2 linked regions of the Mus musculus genome follow. The protein of the gene in region 1 interacts with the protein of each later gene in a pairwise test. Links are inferred from orthologs where the notes say so. Each region holds a gene or a part of one and is shown on either strand. Other genes may lie near its edges.

What was found.
Region 2: the proteins of Prkci (region 1) and Pard6g interact in binary tests that used the Homo sapiens proteins (3 or more experiments, as listed by UniProt). The link is inferred for Mus musculus from reciprocal best matches to the Homo sapiens genes PRKCI and PARD6G.

The regions. Positions count from the first base shown.
Region 1 is NC_000069.6:30,992,346-30,999,518, forward strand, and holds the start of Prkci (protein kinase C iota type), read left to right. Parts: upstream 1-3,425; 5' UTR 3,426-3,639; coding exon 3,640-3,740; intron 3,741-7,173.
Region 2 is NC_000084.6:80,043,817-80,050,877, forward strand, and holds the start of Pard6g (partitioning defective 6 homolog gamma), read left to right. Parts: upstream 1-3,078; 5' UTR 3,079-3,254; coding exon 3,255-3,326; intron 3,327-7,061. UniProt on the Homo sapiens protein: Adapter protein involved in asymmetrical cell division and cell polarization processes. May play a role in the formation of epithelial tight junctions. The PARD6-PARD3 complex links GTP-bound Rho small GTPases to atypical protein kinase C proteins.

The sequences.
Region 1 (7,173 bases):
TCAGATGCAAAACTGCACACTTTGCAACACAGCTGGGCACTCCCTCGAGATGTTAAACAGTGATCATGTGACCAGGGAGCTCGCTTAGGGCATTGCCCAACAGAATTACAAGTGCATCTGCATCGAAAACATAAGCAACAGTAACAGCAGAGCAGGGCTTCGCCAGTTCTAAAAACAATGATAGCATCAGGAAAACGACAAGATCATACACAAATGTGCATATAAACATTTCTGTATTGTCCCCTGACTGTTGACTATTATTTAACCATATAAAGGAAGTACAGGCACTTGATGCAATGTGAACAAGCCTCAAACATATTAAACCAAGTAGAAGACACGAAAAACGACATAGTCTATGATTCCCTTTGTATAAAATACATAGAACAGAGAAAATCCACAGCTGCACAAAAGGTATTGGTCCTGAGAGGCTGAAGATAATGGACCCAATTTATTGCCAGCGGGTATGCTGTTTCTTTGGGGTATGATGAAGATATTTTGGATTTCAATAGCAATGATCGCTGTCCAACTTTGTGAACATACTGAAAAACTGAACTATGTGGTTTAAATGTGTGATCTGTAAGATATGTAAAGTATAGCTCAGTAGAGTTTCAAAAATGTGAATGTTAATGCTTTCTGTGGTCATCACAATGGATGGACTCTTCCTGTTCTCCTAGCTGGTTGGCCCCTTTCTTCCGTTCCTCATTCTCTATAGACTTAGAGGTAAGTTGGACTTGAACTCATGGTTTCAAATGATCCTTCTACTTCATCCTCTGTAGTAGCTAGGCTTCCAACCATATGCCACCTGCTCTTAAAGTTGTTATTTTGGACAGGCAAAATAGTAGTGGTGGTTTGAATATGCTATTGGCCCATGGGAAGTAGCACCATTAGGAGGTGTGGCCTTGCTGGAGTGGGTGTGGCCTTGCTGGTGTGGGTGTGGCCTTGTTGGAGGAAGTGTGCATTGCCCTGTGTGGAAGACAGTCTTCTCCTGGCTGCCTGAGGAAAACAGTATCCTTCTGGCTGCCTTTGGATCAAGATGCAGAACTTAGCTCCTTCTTTAGAACCATGTTGGCCTGCATGCTGCCATGCTTCTCAGCATGATGCTGGACTGAAGCTCTGAAACTATAAGCCAATCCCAATTAAATGTTTGTTCTTATAATGTTTGCCTTGGTCATGGTGTTTCTTTACAGCAATGGGACCCTAAGTAAGATAATAGTTCAACTGACAGCTGCTGTCAAGGTCTGATACCCAAGTTTAATCCCCAAGACCCATATGGTGGGAAGAGAGAACCAACTCCTCTAAATAGTCCTATATCGCCACATGTGCCCATCCCCAGTAAAAGGAATGTAAATTTTTTTTAGTTTAATTTAATCTTATGCATATGGCTGTTTTACCTGCATGTATGCACCATATCTGTGCCTGGTGCTCACAAAAGCCAGAAGAGGGCATCAGATCCCCTGAAACTGAAGTTATAAACCACTGTCAGTTGCTATGTGGTTGCTGGGACTCGACCCCCAGGTCCTCTAGAAGAACAGTGAGATCTTTAAACTATTGAGACATCTCTCCAATCTCTGTAATGATTATTTTTAAATCTATCATCTTTAAGAAAAGTGATGTGTGTGTGTGTGTGTGTGTGTGTGTGTGTGTAGTGCTATTTATACAAATTATAGTTACAGATTCATATAGCTAACACATTAAGTAGTTAAAAAATTCTTGGGTAACCTTTAAAACCATATTATGAAGCCAATAATGACAGATTTTTCAAAAGTGGTAAGGAATAAGAATTTTTTTTAAAAAAAGAATTTTCTGTGAATTACCTTTTATTTCTTCATAAATATCTACTTCTTATATGCTAGTTATTTTTCTAGAGCTTTATATAATTGTAAACTTGTCACAAAGCATTAAAAAGTTTCAATAATGCAATTAAAAATTGGTGATCTCTGCCTGGAGAGATGGTTCAGTAGTTAAAGGCACTGGCTGTTCCTCCTGGGAACCTGGGTTTGATTCCCAGCACAACTATCTGAAACTCCAGTTCCAGTGTATCTGGCACCCCTTTCTGACCTCTGCAGGAACCAGGCGGTGTGTGGTGCTCATACATAAAATAATAATTAAAAAAAATGACCATCAGCAATCAATCCATATTTAACGTGATGATGCAGCCTCTAATTGTTAAAAAAAAAAAAGTTATTTAGTGGAAATTTTCATATACTCCAAATTTGTGGACGTTGGATGAAGCTAGTACCAAGCTAAGTGTCACACATAGTAGCTCTGATAAAGCAAGCAACCAAATCTAATGTATGATTATAAAGAAAGCTGCTGGGTAGTGGTGACACATGCCCTTAATAGGACCCAGGAGGCACTAGCAGGCGAATCTCTGAGTTTGAGTCTAGCCTGACAGAATGAGTTCAAGGACAGCTACAGAGAGAAAACCTCTTACCAACCAAAAACAAACAAACAATAACAAAAAGAAAGCCATATCTTTGCTTATTTCAACAATTTGCACATGTTGCTATCTGAGCTGACCTGGTGGCTAGATTCAAGCTACCTTAAGGGTAGAGTAAGTGATACAGGCAAGATCTGAGGAAGTCCGAAAGTAAGTTACACGGACAGATTTTTTTTTCTAATTCTCGACCAGACTAGTGTAAGTAAAATAAATGCTAATGAACTGACACACTAGTTAAGTATTCACTGGGCACTTTCTTCTATAGAATGGCAATATTCACGGGTTGAGGGCCTTGAAGAAGTCTCTCTCCTGTGGTATCTCCCAATTGAGTTTCTTCTTTCGTTGCATTCACTAATGCTTTTGCTACCTACATTATTAAATTCTCCCCGAAAAGGATTTGCTGAGCAGGTAATCAAATCTTGTTCCCCCAAAAGGGAACTGTTTAATTTCAATGATCAATGAAATTGACATGGAGAATTTAATTGGAAGGAGATTCTACATCTTGACGAAGCCATCTTTCCAGTGCCCTCAGATACTCAAGCGGTTTTCAGGACTTCCATGCCTACAACTCCCGGGAAGCACAAGATCGAAAACGCGGCACTCTACACTTAAGGAACAAGTCCCAGAATCCCACCGGGACTCCAAATCCCAGAATCCCGCGCAGCAAATACATTCCGGAAGCGTGGCGGGCTAGCTGGGACGAGACTAAATAGAAGAAATAGGGGAAGCAACCTTGAGCGTGGGTGCTCTGTAGGTTGTTTTGTAGAAATCCTTCCATTTAAAGGCGTGGTTTACAATTACTTATATTAATATCCAAGTATATTCCCATTTCAGAGCGTCTGTTAGTAGGCTGGTGGGTTCTGTTCCCTCTGCTAGCCTCTTCTCCCCCCCGTGAGGATGAGAGCGCCGGGGCTCCGCGACTCCTGAGCCCGCCCTGCCGCGGAATGCGGCCTTGGGAGCGAGCGTGGTGGGAGGAGCCGCGGCGGGAGGCGTGTTGTGCCGGGCGGAGGGAGGAGCGCTGGGGCTCGGGCTTGGCGGCGAAGCGACCCCTTGCTCGCTCCGCGCCGCGGGCTAGGCGTGTTGGTCGGCGAGGCGGGCGGCCACGGCTTCCCGACAGGCTCGGGAGGCCGAGACCCTCGCGGCGCCCGGCGCTGCCCCGGCCCCCTCGGCCTCCTGCGGCGAGGCGGGGGAGTGAGGAGATGCCGACCCAGAGGGACAGCAGCACCATGTCCCACACGGTCGCGTGCGGCGGCGGCGGGGACCATTCCCACCAGGTCCGGGTGAAAGCCTACTACCGCGGGTGAGTGTTGGCGGTCAGGGACCCGAGCGATCGTGGGGGCGGCGAGAGGTGCGGTTGGTGGCACCCTGGACGTATGAGTGTAGGTCGCCAGGAGTCGGCGGAGGAGAGTGGGCGCAACCGGAGGGGAGGACAAATCAGCTGACGGAGAAATTTGCAACTGTTTCGGGACTGGGTGGATTGAAGATTTCGAGGGAAGCCTCTGTTCACTCACTACTGTGGGCACGCAAGCCTGGACTGCTTCGTTAGGTGGCTCCTTTCATTGCAGACAGGCCTGAAGCCTCCGTCTTATAAATCAGGTTTACATCTATCCTTCGCCGTGGGAGAGTTCATGAAATAAGTCTGGACTATGGTCAGAGAGCCGCTATAGGTGTTAGAGTTAGTACCAAAGTCGATACTTTTTAATAGGATGTGCACTGGATCCTGGGTGGTCAGAATTAAGGTGCAAATGTGCTGACCCACATTTTGGAAGTTAGGGTGAGCTATCGAAAGGTGAGAAGCCAAGGCTTTAAATTCTAGAAACGATCTTTACCCCACTTGATTACCAAACGTTTAAACTAATGTCTCTGCCAAAAGTAATCCAGTTCTGAGCATAGCCCAAATCATTTTCTATCGTGACTTATCATAAAGTTCTTCCTCTCCTTTGACTTCAGTGTGTGGTTTGAGATAATTTAGGATCTCTGCTGAGGTGAAAGGCCAGCGTGAGCATAAAGACTGGAGAGCAGGGATTAACAGAAGACCTCTCTGCTTGTCTAGGCAGAAATAAATTGCTTTTAAAAGCTTCAAGTGCTACAAGGTTAAAAGAGCTGTGCGTGCTTTCACATTCCTGAGGGGATCAGTGAAGATAGCAGACCTTCCCGGTTCTTTCTTGTTTTCCTTTCAAGAGAACTGAAGCTGCACATGTCTTAATGTGTACATGTAAGGCCTTAGATTTGTGTGTTATCTTCCAGCCTCTGACATTGACTGATTTGGGACTAATTCGTAGAATTTGCAGTAGACAATGTTCTTTTCACTTAAAACAGAGAAAATGAGGTTAAAATAGTCTCCGCAAACGCACTAATTTTTTTTTTTTTTGAAATTTTTAAAAAGTTGGTAGTTGTCATAATAATTGCTTTAGGCATTTTGGTTCATGGTCAGCCATGAACAAACTTTGCAAGATTGGAAGAGCCACAGCCCATCCTTCCGAGGACAAACACACAACTTTCTGATAATTTGAGAGACATTTGTTTTAGAGCAGTGGTTCTCAATGCTGCAACTGTTTAATACTCTTCCTCATGTTGTGGTGACCCCAATTTATTTTGCTACTACCTGTAACTGTAATTTTTCTACTGTTATGAATGTAACATGAATATCTGTGTTTTCGGATGCTCTTAGACCCCTCCCAAAGGGATCTAGATCTACGGATTGAGAAACGTTGCTTTTGAGTAGGTTCCACTTATAAAGTTAGCAGCCTGTGGCGTATTAGGTGTAGAGGAGGAAATGCCGTGGATTCTAAAGAAGCTGTCTAGTTGACAGGTTTACAGACGAGAGTTCAGTGTAAATGCGTGTGCTTGGTAAGAGAGTGCATATTGTGTACATGTGTCAGTAGCACTGTGGCTTTTCACCCTCCAGTCTCCAAAGGCTCTGTTGTGGGTAACTTCTTCTGCAGCTTGCATTTACTGTTTTAAAGGTTGTACTTATGGAGCTGGAGAGAGGGCTCAGCCATGAAGAACACTCGATGCTCTTCCAGTGTATCCAGATTGTGTTTGAAGAACCTGTGTTAGGTGACCCACAATACTGCAATTCTAGTTCCAGGACCCCAATACCCTCTCCTGGCCACTGTGGCACCCCCACCCCACCCCCCATACATATCACATGTGTGTGTGTGTGCATGTGTGTGCGTGCACACAGACACATCAATCTCAAAAAAGTTGCATTTATGTTTCTTTATTTAAATTTATTTTATTTTTATGAGTACACTATAGCTGTCTTCAGACACACCAGAAGAGGGCATTGGATCCCATTACAGATGGTTGTGAGCCACCCATGTGATTGCTGGGAATTGAACTCAAGACCTCTGAAGAGCAGTCAGTGCTCTTCACCACTGAGCCATCTCTCCAGCCCACATTTATGTTTCTTGAGAGATCATCTGTAGATAGTATTTATCGATTACTTCCACTGAAAGATGAACATTATGTTGTATAGTGCCTTCTGTCTCCTGTTTCCTGTGGGTCTTAAATGTTGATTGTTCAGCGATTGATTTTAGTTTTTGACTTTATACTTAGCTTCCAGTGACTTGGTGAAAGACCAAGGAATTAATGCTTTTTCATTTTTCCATATTTTTATTAGTAAATAGGCGCATCATATAAATCATTTCCAAAATTTCCTTGGAAAGAAATCAATACGTCGAACTCTAGAAATTCAGGTATTCCATATGGATTTTCTTTATTTATTGCTCTAATTATTAAGATAAAGAAAATGAGAATATGGATATACGATTTATTTTGTCTAAAAATTTCTCGAGGTACTTTAATATTATCTTTTAAAGTTTAGGAAATTTTACTAAAGATAGGCACACATAACCCCATGTCTTCAGTAGTCAGTGGAACCGTCCTAATACTACATGGTTTTTCAAGCTTCCTCTGAGGACAGCCTCAGCACTCTTAACCGTGCCATTTTCTTTTTTCTGAGTTAGACGTTAAGATTATATGTTTATTAACAGTAATCTAAACTGGTAGTTATATTACAGCCAGCTGCTTATTAGCGTTGATGAGACTAAAATGCGTCACCAGCAAGGAGAGCTAATAAATGTGTTGGTTAACAAGTCCCATACATGACTCCAAAGTAGACTCCCTTTCCCTTGTGCTGGGAAACAGGAGGGTTTGCAATTGGAAAATGTGGTTTGGGGCTGGGGATCTGGTTAGAGGAGTGCTTGCTTAACGCGCACAGGCCAAGGTTTCGTCTCCAGCACTGCAGAAACCTGGTACATGGCGCGCTGTAATCCTCCACTCAGAAGGTGGAGGAAGGAAGAGCAGAAGGGTGAGTTTGGGACCAGCTTGGGCTACATGAGGTTTTTACCTTAGCAACAAAAACAACCTCACAGAGACCATTTTCTTTTCACCCCCTCTTTCTGTAGCTTTCCCCTGCCTCCTCCTAACAGTAGTTCTTCCCAGTGAAGCTTGACTATGAATATTTCCAGTGAATGAACTATCCTCTCCTTTTAAATAGGTTTCATTTTTGGGAAAGTATTTGTCTTCCTATATATAAGAGGCATGTGATTTGACTTTTTTCCAGTTTTTAAAAGCAAGAGACTTTTCTAGTTTGTAAAGGCACTGAGAATCTGGCGTGAGTAGAGTGCCTGTCTCATGGTCTGCGCCCCTTTTTCCCAACATGGGAACTCTGGAGTCAGCGGCCCTTTTCCTTACAGTGCTGTTAGGTTGGAGGAAGAGAAACAGGT
Region 2 (7,061 bases), on another chromosome or scaffold:
GGCCCCATAGATATGTGAAAACAAAAACAAAAACAGGCTGCCAGGCCAGGACCTAGAGGGAGTGGCTTGACGTTCTAAGGCTTAAAAAGCCTTTCACTGGGGTAGCCTGGCTGTGCACAGGGAAACAATTCAGGCATCAGCAGCTTCCTCCTGGGGCTGCCTGTCCCTTAAGCCACAGTCTATGTAGGCAACAGGTGATGGATATCCAAGTGCAACCCCTCTGCAGTGCGGCTGGGCTTGCCAGGTACGTGGGGATCTCCTTATGTTACAGAGCTGATTCCATAGGTTGTCACTGATGGAACAGGGGAGCACACAGGCCTTAGCCCCTCACTGTGAGTCACAGGATTCACAGAACTGCCTCACTCCCCTCTGGCTGACCCACTGCCAACTAAGGACCACGTGAAGCTTGGCACCTCCTCACCTTCCCTTTCCCAGAGTCTTGAACCTGCTATCTTCCCATCTCCACTCTGAGACAGGATTTCTCTGTGTAGCCCTGGCTGTCCTGAAACTTGTTCTGTAGACCATGCTGGACTCGAAGTCACAGAGGTCTGCCTGCCTCTGCCTCCTGGGTACTGGGATGTAAGGTGTACAACACCACTGCCAAGTCAGAACCTGCTCTTGGATCTTCTTCCCTACCCACTCCCCAGAACGATATTCATCATTCCATATTTGAAATGTCTGGCTTACAGCTTGTGTTAGTCAAGGCTTGTCTAAAGGACCAGAAGTGATAGAATTAACAAATAAGAACGAACACACACACACACACACACATACACACACACACACACACACACACACACACACACACACACACACACACGCTTGCACAGCTGTCTCACACTAGAGAAGCCAAGAATCCAGTAGCTGCTCAGTCCACAAGGTTGGATGTCTCAGCAGCCCCAATCTGGCACCGAAGGCCTGGAGGATCCCTAGAGAGCTGCTGGTCTTCGGTCTACATTAGAAACCCGAAGAACTTGGCTCTAGTGTCAGCCAAGTATGCTGCAGCAACAGCAGAGATGGGCATGCCAGTAGAGTGGGGCAAGCAGGCAGAAAGCAACGGTTTCTTTTTCCATTACCATCTCATCTATGTTTCCTCCAGAAGCTGTTGTCCACACGTGGGCGGGTCTTTCTGCCTCAGATATCTGACCAAGAGACAGTATTTCTCAAAAAGCCTCAGAAATAAGTGGATGTAGGATTAAGTTCGGCATTTACAACACCCCTCACAGGAGCGCCAAGAGGCTTGTGTTTTGGTTATTCCGATAGAGTCAAGCTGACAACCAGGATTAACCATGTGGGCGCTCAACCCTTACCGCGCTCCTGGGCCTCCCCCACCCACAGAACTGTCCCTTTGGAGTGAACAGTAAAACAGCAGACCTGTGACTTTTCTAAGGCCAAAGGACTGTACTAAGTTAGGAATCGACCCTCCAAATAAGACATCATGAGGTCTGGGATCCCATGCCCTGTACTGAGTAAAACGGGCATGGAAGTACGTACACACACATGCCGTCCCAGCACTATGGAGGTGGGGACAGGAAGATGGGAAGCTGAAGGGCAGCTTCAGTTACCTAGAAAGTTTAAGGCTGGCCTAGGTTATGTAAAGGCCTGTGAGAGAGAAAAGGAGGGAAAGAGAAGGGTAAGGGAGGGGCTCTTGGGGGAAGGGCTCTTTGGGGGAGGGGCTTTGGGAGAGGGGCTCTTTTGGAAGGGCTTTGGGGGAGGAGCTCTTGGAGGAGGGGCTCTGGGGGAGGGGCACTTGGGGGAGGGGCTTTGGGAGAGGGGCTCTTTGGGGAGGGCTTTGGGGGAGGAGTTCTTGGAGGAGGGGCTCTGGGGGAGGGGCTGGGAAAGAAGAGAGAACTGAGGAGCTTGCTCCTGCTGCTTTTTGACCAGGATTTCCCCGTGTCTTCCCGGCTTACATCACCTATGCCTGTCCGGGGTCCTCTGAACAATATGGACTTTCTTCTAAAGGAAGGATTATGACTCTAAACCACAGTGACCACAGGCCCTGGCATTAAACCCTGATCATAACAGAATAAATACACAGCAAAACTGAATAAAAATTAAAATTTAGGGAATGCAATTTGGCAGTCTGTGTTAAAACTTTAGAGGAGGTGTGTTTTATAGCCTAATAATTCCATTTTAATAGTCAATATCTTTTAAAAGCCTCAGAAATAAGTGAAACCTGGGATTCAGCACTTATAATATTAGTATGTATGAAATGCAAACATAGCCAATAAAATAAAACCATTAGAAGTCATACCTTTATTCACATAAGCAATTTAAAGAACATTTTCTAAAATCAAACAACTGATGAAAACATCCATTATAACCCGGGTAGTGACAAAACAGAATGATCACAATTCTGTAATGTATATTACAATGTACACAAAAAGTAAACATGCCGATTACAAAAATGCATGAGACATTTTAAGATAGTTGTTAAAGCCTGTAAGTTTCGTCCTAACTTCTTTACAAACTCCTAAGGAGCCAGGTTCCATCTTGGGTTTTCTCCCCCCTCTTTTTAAGTGCTCTATCTAGTCTTCTATGATATAAGAATCATTTCTTTCTCCAAACCTATCCTATTTTCTATCAACTGCCTTAGAAAAACCCTCGCTGCTCCTCAAACCCTCCTGCAAGTGTTCCTCTCCCTTTAAAAAAAAAACAGTTTTAGTTCTTGTTGTTAATACTACATATTAGTTTTAACTTTAACTATTTCTTTACAATTTGGCATCGGTTTACTATCCTGTCGCTTTCCGTCCTGCCTGAGTTCACTACTTCATGGGCGAGACCACCTACAACCTGGCAACTGAGGCAGGCAAGTGGAGCAGACCTGGAGGCCTTGTCCTCACCATTGCTTCTTAAGAATCTATCGAGAACCCCTTTCCCAGGCGGACCGCTGTGGAGAAGGCAAACCGGAGAGCCCAGAAAATGGCCCAGAGCTTCTGCCTTTGGAAAGGCACCAGGTAGGGGCGTGGCGTGGGCGGGTCCTGATGGGGGCTGGAGGCGGGGCTCTGGGGGCGGGGCTCTGGGGGCGGGACTCGGGGGAGGCGTCCCGTAGCTCCTCCCGCGCGCGGCCCCTGGAGTCCCCGCGGCGCGCCGCCAGCCCCGCTCCGGCCCGCCTCACGCCGTGCAGCCGGGCGCCCTAGCGAGCGCGGGCCCGGCGCCGGGCCCGGGCAGACGTTGGGGGGCGTCTCCGCGGAGACTCTCTCTGAGGCCCCTGAGCGGCGAGGGCGAAGGCGAGGCTGAGTGGGGCCGAAATCATGAACCGGAGTTTTCATAAGTCTCAGACCCTACGCTTCTACGACTGCAGCGCTGTGGAAGTCAAGAGCAAGGTAAGTGCCCGAGGCCCACCGGGGCGGTCTGCACTCGGTCCCTTGGCAAATGAATGGTGCACCCCGCGGAGGGAAACTGGAGCGGTGTGGGAGGCGACCGGCGTCGACAACTTTGGAGCTTAGGCGCTGCGTGCCTCTGCGCGGGGTCCGTGGGATGTGCTCCGGGACCCCGGCGATCCTCCCTGCTCCCTATGCGAGCACAAAGCCCGGCGGCGGAGGGCCATGGGACAGTCAGTGTAGGCTCTGAACCAGCTCCACGAGAGCTGCTCTTTTGTTCCACGAACTAGAGAAGACCGGGGCGCGCCACACGTTGGAGGGGAGGGCTGTGTTTCCGGGGCGATCTTGGAGCCGGAGACTGCTGGGATTCAGGTCGTGGAGGGGTCTTTGGGAGGCCAGAATCAGGAGGGGGGCCTGGCTGCGCCGCAATTTGGCCTTAAGGAGCAGACTGGCGGTCGGCTCCCAGATCAGGGCCCTGGCTCAGCCTCCTGTTTGGCGCTGGGTACCAGACCCGGAGCCCCAGGCGCCCTTTACCCCAAGACCCAGACCCCTTGATCATACCCCTGGCCCAAGTCCAGTCTTCCCGACCCAGCCCTGAGCACCCTTGCTACCCAGACATCTTTCCTAGACGCTCCCCCAGCTTAGATCCCCCGGGCTCTTAGGGTTCAGGGACCGATAAACTCCCATTTGGGCGAGCCGCCCCTAGACAAGACCACAATCCGCTACGGGGGGGCGCGACCAGGGCGCAGACTCAGACCCCCTGGGCGCGCCCGGGCCCCTCCCGCTGCTTGTGCCTAGGCAGAGCGTGCCCGAACTTGCGAGTAGCCGTGCCTGGATAATTGGCTGATAGGATCTGGCGCTTCTCCCCTCTGCGGAGGCAGCTCCTTCGCTGCAAAAGCTTTGGTCTGGGAGGGTCTGCAACGCGGACCCTGCGGGATGGGGAGCTGCTGTTGCTTAGGGTCGGGTGGGAGAAGTCCCTGGAGCCTTTTACTGACTAGGAGATAAGTAGCCTTGTTTCTGTGGTGTTCTGGGTGAAGAAGGGAGAGGTGCTGGAATGGTCCAGATCACCAAGGGTGAGTTCTCCCCAGTGCTTCTTGTGGGCCTAAGGCCTGAGATCCATTCATTCGCCTGGTATCTGGTAAGATAATGCTCTCATTAGACTACTGACCAGCCACCAGAGAGTTCTTTAGTATAAGATTTTCAGGGTCTCTGTAGAGTCCTGAAGATGGGGCAAGTCCCCTCAGTAACAGCAGGGTATCTTTGCAGACCCATTGTGGTAAACTGCAGGGTCTCCACATTTGGGGCAGCTTACTTATAATGAGAGCCTACCCTGTTTCCAGATGGTAATTCTATGACTCCCATCCCCTCTGTTGTCCAGGAGTGCTCCTAAACCCCAAGTTCACGCAGCTGTAAAGTTAGGGCCATCCATGGCCATGGGAGGGTGGGAGGGTTGCCTGCTTCCTCAGCACTGGACTAGGGCAGCCCCTTCATGTCTCTAAACTGTTTTGAAATCGTGGTACATTCACAAGCAGACGTGAGAAAGAATACAGAGACCCGAGGTCACTTTGCTTGGCCTTCTGCAGTGTTAACCTCTGGTGTGAATAGAAGGGAGCTTCATACGGTGCTATGTGCTCACTTGTGTGTGTATACGGGTGTGTAACACTCTTGTGAGCGCCAACACAGCGGACACCATCAACACCCATCACCAGGATTCTTCCTGACCACTCACTGAGTGTGGACTCCGATGAGAAGTGCTAACCACTCAGTTCTGGTGCTCAGTAGCTGTGTGTGACGATGTACATTAACAAATTCAAAATGAGGCCATGGGACAGATCTGGAGGAAGTGCCCTCACTGGGCCTTATCCTGCATTTCTGGGCTGTGGTCCATGCAGGCTTAGGGGAGAATAGGCCACCTACCTTTGTTTCCTGGCATGTTGGCCAAACTGTCTCCTCCAACTCTGCTTAGTGGAGAAATGCCACTTTGCATCTCTGAGGCTTCAAGCTCAGATGCTGTTTGGAGTGGAGACTTAGGAGAGCCCACGCTGACATAGACAGCATTGGGGTGGCTGTCACATGCTCTCCACCCCACAGCATGCCACTCTCATTGCCTGTCCAGAATGTCCCCAGTGGCTCTTCCTTCCACACCCCTCCCGCTCTCCTCCCACTCGGTAGCTGATGTGTATTATTGTGGAGTCCATCTCTCCAGGCAAGGGCTTTTGTCTGTGCTGGAGGCAGAACTTCCTATCAGCAAGGACTTCACACACCTCGAATGTAGAACTAAATATAGTAACTGTGGTTTGCTTAGGAAAATGGCAGCCACAGCTCAGTGCACCCAAGTTTTGTTGGGGATTTGAGGCAACATCTTTTCGTTTCCCTATCTGAGTCGTTTCATCTGTGGGCATCTGCATCATATCCAGAGAAGGTGCTCACCTCCTGAGGTGAGGGGAAGACATGTTGGGAAGTGCAGGGCACCCACCATCCTCAGCATCCAGTGCCACGGCGCAGGGTCTCAGCACTCACGGTGAGTGCTGAATATGGCCACGCGTCTTCTCAGAATTGAGATCATTAATTATCTGCCATGCCAGCCACCTCCTGGGCACACCAGCTGTGTATGCAGAGAACTCAGGTTCTTGGCCTGGTGGCTGCCACCCGTTTCATGCCCCCTGATGATTCCCTAAAATCGTTAACTCTGGCTCATCCTCTCTCCCTCTCCAGAGCCATGTGCACTTTCGATTTCCTGTTTCTGCCTGCCCTTCTCACTCCACCGTGACTTTTGCCTCTCCAACCTGTAGCTGGAAGGGAGACACTGGAGATTTGTAGGAAAGCATTTCAGGCTGAAGGACGAAGGGCAACTGCCTAGGCTGCTTTGAAAGCCAGCAAGAGGGCAAGAAGGCCACTGCCGTCAGGGATGGGGGTGTCTCAGAGAATACAGTTCTCAGGTCCTCCTACCGCAACAGTGTCCCAACTCGAGAGGCAAGTCTGTCATGAGGCCCACTCAGTATTGTTTGAGGCTGAAGGTTTTCTTCATGTGTGTGCCTCCCTAAAGAAACTTGAGGCTGGAAGAGGGTAATTCTGTCTGCAGACAGACTTCTCTCAAATGCTGCCTCATGCCTTCTGACGCCGTGTGCTAGTGTGCATACATCACGTTATTGTTTCTAGAACGAGGATCACAAAGACAATATGTAGTCTACTTTCAATCTGTCAATATGTGACAAATGTTTCTTCATGTCATTAACATTTTTAGGGGACTTTAAAAAAATGACTACGCAGTATTACATCTTCTGTCCAATCATAATATAACCAATATCTTGTTTGAATTTCTGCCTGGTCCCCCCCCCCATACTAAACTGTGCTGTGAACCATATTGAAGTATTTATATGAAGCCAATACAGAACATACAACATAAGGCAAATGAAAGTTACTGGTTGTATTAAATCAACAGGACTCTATGTACTTAAAAGTACTTGGGATAAAAGACATGCACATTTTTAAGGCTTTGAATACGTAATTAGTAAGTGTTTAGGCAGGTAAGATGGCTCTGTGGCAAAGGCAATGGCCGAGCAAGCCTGACCTCCTGAGTTCAAACCCTGGAATCCACATAAAGGTAGACAGAGAGAACTGACTCCACAAGATTGTTCTCTGATCGCCACACACACACACACACACACACACTCCATAGCACGCGCACGCACATACACACACATACACACACATACCATACACATGCAATAACTTTTA